Linked DNA regions of Callithrix jacchus. The protein of the gene in region 2 binds, or shares a complex with, the protein of the main gene of each other region. Links are inferred from orthologs where the notes say so. Each region holds a gene or a part of one and is shown on either strand. Other genes may lie near its edges. The genes, in order: MYSM1, KIF11 and RBM10.

Region 1 (3,589 bases), on a different chromosome or scaffold from region 2:
AACAGATAAAAATCTGCCCTCGTGTTGCCTGCATAATAAGGGGGTTGAGGGGAGAAGAGACAATACACAAATGAAAATGTAATATTTTTGGTAGTAATAAGTTCTGTGAAGAAACTATAACACAGAAAAAGAGAATGAAAGGGAAGAGATACATGAGATACTTTAGATAAGCCTCTAGTTTCCCTTGACCAGACTTCAATGCAACAAGAAAGCAACACTTGCCAAAATATGGGGGAAGAACATCCAGTAAAAAGTCAGGGTCAAGGCCCTGAGTTGGAAGTGTGAAAATAATGAGTCAAGACTAAAGACTCCAATATCCCCTTTACCTAGTGTGACCTGGAACAAGGTTTTTATCCTCTGTGAGCCTCATTTTTTCTTATCTATAAAATGAGAATGAGGTTGTCAAAAGGATTGGAGATGATTTAAATACAGTGCATGGTATTTGGGAGGCATTCAGTCATGGTACTAATTACTATTTTAATAAAAATATTCCCCTAACCAGAGAATCAACTGCATCTGCTTTTATGACAAGGATCTTTTATCTATAAACAAATCTGGCAGGCTTCTTTTTATTTTAAAACTTTAACTCTTCCATCTATTTTTTTAACACCACCTCCAGTCCCTAACCCACTCACTGTCTTCTATTTCTGAACAGATGTGAGTTCCTGTTCAAAACACTTTTTGCTTTCACACTGTTCTGCTAAATCACCATAATAAAATAGCAATACCTAACCAGTTTCATGAACCAAGGCAAATGACTTAGGAAACTACTGGCTTGTAATTTACAGTACCTATATAAATTATTCTGCCTCATTTGGAATCCAAAATTCAAAGTAACAAATATAGAATTTGATTAAAGTAACAATTAAGTATACACTGATCATTCATATGGACATTTTTAACAGATCTTGCTCTGTTGCCCAGGCTAGCGTACAGTGGCATGATCCCAGCTCACTGCAGCCTCAAACTCCTGGACTCAAGTGAGTCTCCTGCTTCAGACTCCTGAGTAGCTAGGACTACAGGCACACAACATCGTGCCCAAGATTTAAAAAAAAAAAATTTTGTAGAAACAGGTTCTTACTCTGCTGCCCAAACTAATCTTGAACTCCTGGCCTCAAGTAGTCCTCCTGTCTCAACCTCGAAAACTGCTGGGATGACAGTTGTGAGCCACTGCTCCTGGCCAATACGGACATTTTTGAGTTAGCTATTATTTCAAGGTCCTTAAATTTTGGCCAGTCACCCTCTTATTTCCAAAAACAAAAGTAGCTACCAATAGAAATTTAATTTAACTAGTCTTTGTTAATAGTGGGAATTAGGCCATGTGGAATAAAAGAGTGATTTATAGTCCAGACTTGGACTGAAGTCCTTCATGTGTCAGTGACCGGTTGTAAATCAAAGGCAGGTCTCTAAACCTCTCCTGATCTCAGCATCATTCTATATCAAATAGATATAATACCATCTGCATATTTTACAGGATTGTTTTAAAAAATCAAATAAGATGACAGAGGAAAGCTATTTAAAAACTATAAAGCACTATGTAAAGTCAGGAGTTTTCCTTACAAGGATACTTTACTATGATGCCGCCCTGACCCACATGTTGTATTTTCAGTACCTCAACCATCTGTAAAATAAGAGTCAAGAAAAAAAACAAAAGTCCTCCTATTAGAATATAGCCATCTTTAAAAACCAGTGACTAATATTGTGTGGGCAAAATAAAGGTTACTGGTTTATTACAGCCAGATGTTTTCCTTTGGTAACCCTTTTAGGTTATAGCAGAAAGTTACTGCAATAGGACTGGAAGGCTTTGGTACAAAAGAAAAAGCAAGAGGCAAAGCAGAACCCCTGCTCAAGGAATAGGATACTCTCTGTAAAGATGGCCCTGTAAAATTCGATAGCTTCTGAAACAGTGTTAGCAATTATGAATCTGTTTTGGTTAAATTTTTTTGAGATGAAGTCTCCCTCCGTTTCCTAGACTGGAGTGCAGCAGCAGTAACTGGGATCACAGACACCTGCCACGATGCCCATTTTTGTTTCTTTGTTGTTTTTTTTGTATTTTTAGAAGAGATGGGGTTTCACCATGTTGGCCAGGCTGGTCTCAAACTCCTGTCCTCAAGTGATCCGCCTGCCTCAGCCTCCCAAAGTGCTGGGATTACAGGCATGAGCCACTGAGCCAAGCCAGCAATTACAAATGTTTAATGATGGCTTAATTAGGCTATTTTTAAAAATTCAAACTAGTGGGAATAATAAGGTGGGAAATTTTTTGGTTTATTCCCTATCCCTCATTAAATAATTAAAGTAAGTGGTACTGGCAATTTAGAGAATTAGCTTCATATATCAGAAAACTGTATCCTGATAAAGCTGAAGAAACTAATAGCACATTATTGCCACAGGTTCAAAGTTAAAAGCATTTAGGATCACTATTTAGAAGAAGTGTTTCTGCAATCTGGCTATATCTAATACTATTCCTGTCATCAAATTTTTCTTTGTATTCAAAGAACGTGATAAACTTGAAGAAATTATTTCCCTTTTCCCGTACAGTAGTTTTCTCTTTATATCTTCCTAACACTGTCCTAGGAGACTGCTTCATAAAACAATCATTTGTCCCTTTTACCAGGCCCACAATCCAACGAATAGACAAAAAGATGGATTATGATAGTTAGAAGTGATGTTTACTAAAGCTTTCAAAGTTTCATCACAAGAAATCTTAAATCTTCCCTACTGAAGTGATTTCTAGATTTACTAGCAAAATTCTAAGTTCTGTATAGGCCTAATTAAAATACTTCAGAATATCAGGTTTTTAAAACAACATCTAAAATGTAACTCTTTCTTACCATTGATCCAAAATGTAATTTCTAATTTTCAAATAGCGTTCTGGTGTTTTAGCTTGGCGTCCCTCAAAAAACTCAGGAATTGCTTGTTTTTCTTCTTCTTGAATGATATTTCTATCTATTTCTATTTCCTGTTCTGGTGGTTTAAGCTCTTCTTCCTCATGACTTTCCTCTACCATTTGGCAAGAATGAAAAGGCATTTCATTATCATTCAAATCGTTCTGAATTTCACAAGGCCCCAGAGAAGGCAACTGCCTGGCATCAACTATGATTCCCCTTCCATCATGCTTGTTGCTATTTTTAATCAATTCATTAAATTTCTGATCATTTAATTTGACTGAATTTTTGTCACTGCTGCTCTGTTTCTGTGTCCACAATGTAATTTCCGAGCTTGAAAGTGTTTCGTCTTGCTTTTCATTTTGAAGACAGTCCCTGGAAGACTTAGAAAAGACAATTTCCTGGCTGTCAGAAGCAATGAATTCTCCTTGATTGGTTTCATGCATTTTACTATTAGGGAAATCTAACGAGATATCACTGCTAGAATTCTTTTGGGGTATTTGAGAAGACAACTCATCCACCTCATCTGTGATGTCTACATCTTCATCATCAGATAACTTTTCAATTTTTACAGCATTCAAGTTGGGATCAGCACGTCCCCTGAAACATGACGGTGTCCATGCCTTTGTCCCTTTATTTTCACTTATAACTTGAAGATTATGGCCGTTCTTCTGATTTGGTGTTTCTTTCTCCAGGCCGCATTT
Region 2 (4,378 bases):
TGTATTACAACTCCACTCACATGAAGTACTTAGAGTAGTCAAAATCATAGACAGTAGAATGGTAGGTGTTAGGGGTTGAGGGGAGAGGGAAATGGGGAGTTATTGTTTAATGTGTATAGAGTTTCAGTTTTTCATGATGAAAAGAGTTATGGAGATGAATGGCAGTAATGACTGCAGAATATTATTATGTATTTAATATCATTGAACTGTACACTTAAAGGTGGTTAAGATGGTAAATTTTATGTGCATTTGAAAACAATTTTTTAAATTGGGAAAAAATAGGGGAGGGAATAGAAGGGGTATAAGAAAGATAGCCAGCAGCACATTATGTAGGGGTCTATAAACTTTAACCTGTAGGTTGAACCTGGCCCTTGCCCTGCCAAAGATTTAAGAATGATTTTTGCAGTTTTAAAGGCTTTTTTAAAAATAATAATAAAGGATCAGAAAATAATGTGCAAGAAACCACATGTGCCAGGGTGTGGTAGCTCCTACCTGTAATCCCATGGATCACCTGAGGTCAGGAGTTTGAGACCAGCCTGGCCAACATGGTGAAACCCGGTCTCTACTAAGAACACAAAAATTATCCAGGCATGGTGGTGTGCACCTGTAGTCCCAGCTACCTGGGAGGCTGAGGCGGAAAATTGCTTGAACCTGGGAGGCAGAGGCTGCAGTGAGCTGATATCGCACCACTGCACTACAGCCTGAGTGACAGAGCAAGACTCTGTCTCAAAAAAAAATAAACTACACATGACCTGTAAAGCCTAGAGTATTTAAATAAAATACTCTAGGATAAATATTTATTTATCCGAGTCCTTTACAGAAAAGGCTTGCCAACCCAAGGACCTCATAAATCCCAAGTTGCCTATTTACTAAAGCTTAATAACAGACTTGTACCAGGAAGGCTATTTGAAAGAAGGCATATGCCCTAAGTGCATGCAAAAAAAAAAAAGAAAGAAAGAAAAAGGAAGGAAGGAAGGAAGGAAGGAAGGAAGGAAGGAAGGAAGGAAGGAAGGAAGGAAGGAAGGAAAGAAAGAGAGAGAAAGAAAGAAAGAAAAAGGCTGCCCTGGCCTGGTGGCTTGCACCTGTAATCCCAGCACTTTGGGAGGATGAGGTGGGCAGATCACCTGAGGTCAGGAGTTCAAGACCAGCATGACCAACATGGAGAAACCCCCTTCTTAAAAAAAAAAAAAAAAAAGGCTAATCTGAAAAGAAAAAAAAAACTCTTTACATAAAAATTATTGTAAATTTTTTTTTACAATACACAAGACACAAGCAAAGTACCATTCTATTCATCGATGATAAAATAAATCTCTTCTATGGCAAGGTTTGAAATATATGCAGATCATAAACATCAAGTTCAAGATAATGGTTAACTGTGAGCAGAGGAAAAGGGATGGAGAGGGGAAAGAGGGGGCTCCAGCAATGATTGTTTTGTTTCTTAATCTGTGTTATGAACAAAAATGTTTATTACATTATTCTTAATAACTTTTTCTAAGTCTGAAGTATTTTGTAACTAATATTAAAAAAAGAAACCATATAAAGGCACACGGAAAAGGTAATAATTGCCTGGTTTTATTAAACAACCAAAATAATTTTAAAATTTGCACTTGTTATATGCACTGCATTTTTAAATAAAATTCTTCAAAACAAGCAACTACTAGCAGAAAGCCCAGATTACAGCTGGTAAGTGTCATTGGCCAGACTTAGGATTGCCACCAAATCTGCTCTCTTGCACCTAGTTTAGAAAGGTTTACAGAAAAGTTGCAACAGCAACTGTTAACGACAGCCACAAAAACACACACACAAAACACACATACTCAGTAAACTGCGGAGAGCCTCTAAAAAGTTGAATAAGTCAATTCTAACTAAGCAACAGTTTCTAGCTCATTTTAAAATTAAGAAGTTATTTGGAAACCAGTCAGGGGAGAGGCGAACACCCCTCCACATCCCCTTATCTCGAAAAATCCTTTAATTTGGTCTATGAATAAACAGGTGAAAAGGAAAACTGCAGCACAATCAGAAATTTACACTAGCTTAAATGGCCTTGATCTTTTAAAAGCATAAACTTACTTTATAACTTAATTTTTAATGTTTACATACAGAGATGTTTATTGTTTAGGAGGGATGAAGAAAATATTGCATCTAGAATAAAGATAATAAGTGATTGCTTTTTAGAGGTGGTAATACCAACGTAAGGGCTAAACCATCTGCAAAACAGGTATTCAGTCTTACTTCCAAACTGACTACATGAAGCAGCATACAAAAGTGACACCTAAATCTTTATTGACTATAGTTTAAAATAAGAACGCACTTTTCGGTATGGAACAGTGATCAAATCAAACATCCTATTTTCTCCCGAAAATCAGACACACACAACAACCGGGTGTCATTTTTATCGAACACAACTCGGACAACAAAGAAACTGGGACCCTCAGGAAATGCAAACAAAATCGCTCTCCTCTCCCCGAACCGCGCAGGAGTGGGCCCAGCAGCAAAGCCCGGGCGCTCGGAATCCTGTCAGCCCTCTCCCTACCTGCATCTCACCACCACCTGGATGTTCTTCCCCTTCTCCTCTTTCTTCTTCGCAGACGAATTTGGCTGCGACGCCATGACGGTCCCCGCCAAAAAATCAACGCCTGGCCGCAGCCTTGGGCGCCGTGGGTCGCGTAGGGGTTTGGCGGCAGACGGGAGCCTGAGTCTCCCTGGCCCGTGCCGGGCGCTGGCGTGGCCTGGAGGATTGACGCCCGCAGCTCGGCGTCCCCGCTCTCCACCCGGTACTCTAGCCGTGGCGTTGGTCCCGCACCAGCCGGTGCCACCAAATCACCAATCTTGTCTCCGCCCTAAGTCCCAGAAACCAAGAAACGCCTCGGCGCCTCAATTTGAAAAAGGGGCCGAGTAGCCAGACCAATGGCTGCGCGGACGCGCACGGCACCATGGGACTCAGGGTCCTCACCGGAGCCCCGCCCTCAGGGCGTGACCTCCAGTAACGTAAAGAGCAGGTCTGTCAGCTCGCTCCGGAACTCAGTAGTCCAGAGCCGAGATGCAGGAGAGGAGTGTGGAACTTCAGCGTACCGTGACTCAACTTACATGACGTCTCTATTCCAAAATTCCCTCATCTGCAGAGAGGAAATACTAGTAACCATCTCAGAGGGTTTATGGGGAGAATAAATGAGTTTATGCAAGCAAATAGATTGGAATATATGGTAAGCGCTCATGATTATAATTATTATTGAATTTTAAGAGGGGAATGGAAGCACAGGAGAGGTTCAAAGCGAGCCGCGTTCCCGGAGGCAGAGACCAAAATAGGCTTTTTTTTATTTTTTGAGACGGAGCCGGCCGGGCGTGTTGGCTCACGCCTGTAATCCTAGCACTTTGGAGGCCAAGGCGGGCGTATCACGTGAGGTCGGGAGTTCCAGACCAGCCTGACCAACATGGTGAAACCCCGTCTTTAAAAAAAAAAATTGGGCCGGGCACGGTGGCTCAAGTCTGTAATCCCAGCACTTTGGGAGGCCAAGGCGGGTGGATCACGAGGTCAACAAATCGAGACCATCCTGATCAACATGGTGAAACCCCGTCTCTACTAAAAATACAAAAAATTAGCCGGGCATGGTGGCGTGTGCCTGTAATCCCAGCTACTCAGGAGGCTGAGGCAGGAAAATTGACTGAACCCAGGAGGCGGAGGTTGCGGTGAGCCGAGATCGTGCCATTGCACTTCCAGCCTGGGTAACAAGAGCGAGACTCCGTCTCAAAAAAAAAAATAATAAATTAAAAGAAAGAGACGGAGTCTCGCTCTTGTCACTCAGACTGGAGTGCAGTGGCGCGATCTCGGCTCACCGCAACCTCCGTCTCCCTCAGCCCCCGGGTAGCTGGGATTACAGGTGCATGCCACCACGCCTGGCTATGTTGTATTCTTAGTAGAGATGTGGTTTCACCATGTTGGCCAGGCTGGTCTCGAACTCCTGACCTCAGATGACCCTCACCCCCACGCCCTCCTCGGCCTCCCAAAGTGCTGGGATTACAGGCGTGAACCACCCCGCCTGGCCCAGAATAATCTTGAAGAATTATTAGTGTTGGGCTCGGTGGCTCACGCCTGTAATCCCAACACTTTAATAGGCCGAGGTAGGAGGATTCTTGAGGCCAGAAGTTTGAGACCAGACTGGGCGACATAGGAGGAACACCACCACCACTGCCGCCAACACACAGTGTTGCATCTCAACAACAACAACAACAAAAATGGGGGAAAAAATAGCAAGGTGTGGTGCGTGCCTGTTCTCCCAGCTACTCACGAGGCTGAGGCGGAAGGAACGCTGAACACAGGAGATCAAGGCTGCAGTGAGCCGGGATTATGCCACTAGATTATTCCAGCGTAGGCGACAGA
Region 3 (4,167 bases), on a different chromosome or scaffold from region 2:
AACATCGCTGTGTTTCAGTTTCCTCGTCTGTAGGATGAGTATAATAATAGTGCCTACCTTGAAACGGGGTTGTTTTGAGGATAAGATGAGTTAATCCACGTAGAGTGTTTAGAACACAGACAGGGGCCGGAGCAGTGGCTCACACCTGTAACCCCAGCACCTTGGGAGGCCAAGGCGGGAGGATCGCTTGAGCCCAGGAGTTCAAGACAAGCCTGAGCAACATCGCGAGATCTCGTCTCTAAGGAAAAAAAAAAAGGAACGCAGACGGCAACGAGCAACTGCCATATCAGTGTTTAGTATAATTGTTGTTGTATTATATTGCTTCTAATGTGTTTTGACTGCTGTCCACATGAGGTGTGGTTTCTGTCTGCAAAATAAAACCAATCCTGTCTCTGGCCCTGGAACCTTCGTTCGATACCCAGAGACAAAGGAGGACCACAAAGTAGGCAAAATTCCCACGTCTTCTTTCGCCGACCACGCAGTCCTCTACTGACTAAGAACGTCCTCTACAGCACCCCAACTGTCGCTCCCGGATTGACCCCTTCGGCGTTCCGTTTTCCCCTCCCTCTCACCGTCTCATAAAAGTTTTCGTCCTCGGTTTCTGGGTCCTCTTGCCATTCCACGGTCGGTTCCGGGGGCCGCTTTCCCGCCGCAACGGGTGGGGCGGCCACAGTCCTGGAGAAGGTGGATTCCCAGCGGACGCGGGCGGCCGGGAGCCCTCGCGTCGCCGCTGCCGCCCAAAGACGGCGAGCGGTCAAACCTAACAGCCCAGCCGCCATGACAGACGGTGCTGCAGGGGCTCAGGGGCGGAGACGGAAATGCGACTGTGCGCAACTGCAGTGGGTGCGAGCGCGACAATTATCGCTCCGTCCCCGCCCGCTTAATAGGTCCCAGATCTGATTTTGTTTTCTAATGAGGCAGGGCGTAGAGCAATCCTCTTTGCCTCCAGTTGTCATGGCTTTGTGGTGCCAACCATTCTCTCACTCTTTCGGCCAGGCTGAGAAATTTCTTATTGATTTCTTATCGATGGGGCTGCTAATTTCCTGGATAGGAAGAAATCGGTGACATTCGGGTTGGTACATTTCTCAACCAATCGCCCAGAGAGTTCCCTCGCCCTTTGGGGAAAGAGGTGGAGCTTCCGCTAGTCTTTCATCTTCAAAGGAAGTCAGGCTTCTAAAAAGCGGGCCCTGCCAGATTGGCCAATAGCTACTCCTTTTCTCGACTAGGGGAGCGTTCGCACAGGGTGTGAGGAGGTGGCAAGCGCTTACCAATCAGAGGAGGCTAGGGCTGGCCCCTGGCGGGCAGCGGCCAATCGCCGGGGCTGGCCAGAGCGCGCTTCCTTAGTAGGTGGATGGTGGTCGGAGCGCCGACTCCCTTCTTGTCGTCGCCATTTTGAGCTGATGACTGTGGCCGGCTGGCAGTAGGCGGCAGTGAGTTTCCCTGGGAGGGCAGCGCGCTTGGCGCTTCTCCCCTCCCCGCGATCTGCCCGCAGCCTCGGACTTGGTTGTTGCGCGCTCCGGCTCCGGCTGAGCTGGGAGAGTTGGAGGAGGTGGCGGCGGGCGGAGGTGATGTCTGGGAGCCCTCCCTTGACAGCCCGGGCCGAGAAGGTGAGCGTCGACGCTGGTCGTGGGGGCGGAGGTAAGGGGCCCGGGGCGGGGACGTAGAGGAGGCGCGAGGGCGGACTTCGGGCCGGGGGGATGCGTGGAACGGAGGGGTGCGTGCAATGTCTTAACCCGGGAGGGGGTGGTGTTTTTTTTTTTTTTTTTTTTTTGGTGTGAGCAAAGGCGCGTGCGCGACTGGGACACTGGCTGGGTGCACGCGGGTTGGGGGAAGGGAGGGACGGATGGGAGTGGGCTGCCGTGGATCACTGTGTCCGCTACACCGAAGTTTTTTCGTGGGTAAGCGGTTGTCTGCGACTTTGAGTTTGTGCATGGGCGAGGGATGCTGCTCTGTGTTAAATCTGGTGTGTATTGGTCCATGGGGAAATGTTCTGTGGTTCTGGTCTCTTTTCCTGGAGGATTGGAGGGAGGATGTGACTCTGGTCTTTACCCTTGGTGGGGGGTGTGTGTCTGTGACTCTGGTCCTTATCTGTGGGGCGGGGCTGGGGGGACGACTGTCTTGTGACTGGCCCAAACCCTCTTATTGGGTGGAGAGGGGGATTCAGGGAATGTGTGTGTGACTCGTTGCCGCTTCTTTTGGGGAGTTCCTATCTGTGACACTGATGCTTATCTGTGGAAAGGGGACCCAGTGTGTGTGTAACTGTGGCCCTTACTGTGGGTTCCTTCTGTGATGTGGGCCCGTAGTTATTTGAGGCTCGTGTCTGTGACTGGCCCTTGGCTGTGGTAGATGTTACTGTGTGACTCTGGCCCCTTTGCCAGAGTCTCTTGAGGGTTTTTGGATCTGGCTCTCAACCGCCAGTGCCTCTGGTGTGATTCTAACTCTTGCTCACCTGGGAGCAGGTAACTCGGGTTCCCTGTGGCTTGAGGAGGAAGAGAAAACTGGAGTGTGTGTATGTGCACGCATAGAGCAAAGGTGTGGCAGCAACCTAGAGTTAGGCAGGTGCTATTATTGCCTAGCTTTACCTGATCCCTATTCATAGGGTGGGGCCCGAAGATCTGGGATTCATCCTGACCTCTGGCTGGGTCACACGGTTCTCAGGACTCCCTAAGTTCTCACCATAGCCCTGAGGGTTGGATGAAGTGTTTGCTGCTCCATCCCAGTAGAGAACAGTGGTTCAGAACAGCCTCCAAAAGGGCCCCTTTTGCCTGTGGAAAATAGGCTTGAGCCCTGGGGAGACAATCACTTTGGGACCTTGCTGCACATAAGAGACAGGGCTCAGGGCTGAGCCATTTGCTGTGTGAGGGCCAAGGCTGTGTTGGCCAGGAGCCCAGGGAGGTGGCAGCTGTCTCGTTGCCAAGTTACCCCCTTCACACATACCCCCAAGAGCCTTTCATGGCCTTTTGCTTCCTTAAAGGGGGCAGCCAGCAGCTTCTTGGGAGGATGGGATGGTACCTTGGGGCCCAGGGAAGGAGCCTGGTGCGTGCGTGGGATCCCCATTGTTATCAGATCTTGCCTGATGTGCTGAATGTCAGCAAGACTTTCAGCACTGAGAGTCCCCTACCCCCACCCTGGGATGCATCCCCAGGCTTGAATTTGTCTACCTGTCTCAGGTGGCAAAGCCCTGATCACAATGTGTGTGGCATCGCCAGGTCTTTCTCCAAGATGCCCTCTGTCTGCTGAAGGCCTTGCTGTTTTCTAGGGCAGTGGGCTCTAGCCTCGTGTTTGTGAGGAAAGGAAGGAGCAGGCCAAGTATGTGGTACCTTCACATTATGATGCACAGGAGTGCTGGGATCTGGAAGACAAGGCGGAGAGCCTTGACAACAATCTTTGTCAAGGAGACCCTCTCTGCCCCAACTGCTTTGACCCCTTTCTTCCCTTCACTCTTCCCAGAGTCCCTGCAGGAAGAATCACCCAGGCTGGCAGATCATGGTAGCAGCAGTGGGGGTGGCTGGGAAGTGAAACGGAGCCAGCGGCTGAGGAGGGGCCCCAGCAGCCCCCGAAGGTCCTATCAGGACATGGAGTATGAAAGACGGTGAGTTATCTGTTCCCAGCCTTCCAAACAGCCTAGGCTTGCCTCTATGTGAGAATCGATCCAAGAAGGTGCTAGGATGGGGCTTCTGGGTAGAGGAAACAGCATAGCAGATGGGTTTCTTTTCAGCAGACAGGTATTTGGCACCTGTTGTGAGCCAGGACTTGTGCTAGGCTCTGAGAATGCAGTGATGAATGAGACATGAGATGCATCCTTCTCAATACTCAGGGTGTCACAGGGAGGCCATGCAGTTTACAGGTGGTTAAGAACACCTTGGTGGGTACCATGGTTGGATGTGAGGGTGGGAAAGGATCAAGAGAAAGGGAGGAATCAAAACTGACATCCAGATTTCCAGCTTGGACGACCTTGATATGTTTGTGTGGTACCGTTTAGCGAGGTGATGGCAGCCACTGGAGGAGGAGGAGGAGGAGCAGCAGCAGCAGAGCAACCCTATAGGTTGGGGCTATAGCTTGGGGTATGAGGGATGGGTGGGAATGGCGCCATCAGAGTCAGAATTTGCTCAGGACCACTAGGGAACAAGCCAGGTCAGGTAGTGGGAGACTCCAGGGACTGTGTGG

What was found.
Region 1: KIF11 (region 2) and MYSM1 share a complex: the UniProt entries of both Homo sapiens proteins name them as parts of the large chromatin remodeling complex. The link is inferred for Callithrix jacchus from reciprocal best matches to the Homo sapiens genes KIF11 and MYSM1.
Region 3: KIF11 (region 2) and RBM10 share a complex: the UniProt entries of both Homo sapiens proteins name them as parts of the large chromatin remodeling complex. The link is inferred for Callithrix jacchus from reciprocal best matches to the Homo sapiens genes KIF11 and RBM10.

The regions. Positions count from the first base shown.
Region 1 is NC_133508.1:95,767,408-95,770,996, forward strand, and holds part of MYSM1 (deubiquitinase MYSM1), read right to left. Parts: coding exon 2,832-3,589; intron 1-2,831. UniProt on the Homo sapiens protein: Metalloprotease with deubiquitinase activity that plays important regulator roles in hematopoietic stem cell function, blood cell production and immune response.
Region 2 is NC_133513.1:85,333,586-85,337,963, reverse strand, and holds the start of KIF11 (kinesin-like protein KIF11), read right to left. Parts: upstream 2,838-4,378; 5' UTR 2,611-2,837; coding exon of another isoform or gene 2,540-2,610; coding exon 2,534-2,539; intron 1-2,533. UniProt on the Homo sapiens protein: Motor protein required for establishing a bipolar spindle and thus contributing to chromosome congression during mitosis. Required in non-mitotic cells for transport of secretory proteins from the Golgi complex to the cell surface.
Region 3 is NC_133524.1:48,107,381-48,111,547, forward strand, and holds the start of RBM10 (RNA-binding protein 10), read left to right. Parts: upstream 1-1,342; 5' UTR 1,343-1,568; coding exon 1,569-1,638; intron 1,639-3,450; coding exon 3,451-3,592; intron 3,593-4,167. Other genes in the region: NDUFB11 (NADH dehydrogenase [ubiquinone] 1 beta subcomplex subunit 11, mitochondrial), read right to left, coding at 573-779. UniProt on the Homo sapiens protein: Binds to ssRNA containing the consensus sequence 5'-AGGUAA-3'. May be involved in post-transcriptional processing, most probably in mRNA splicing. Binds to RNA homopolymers, with a preference for poly(G) and poly(U) and little for poly(A).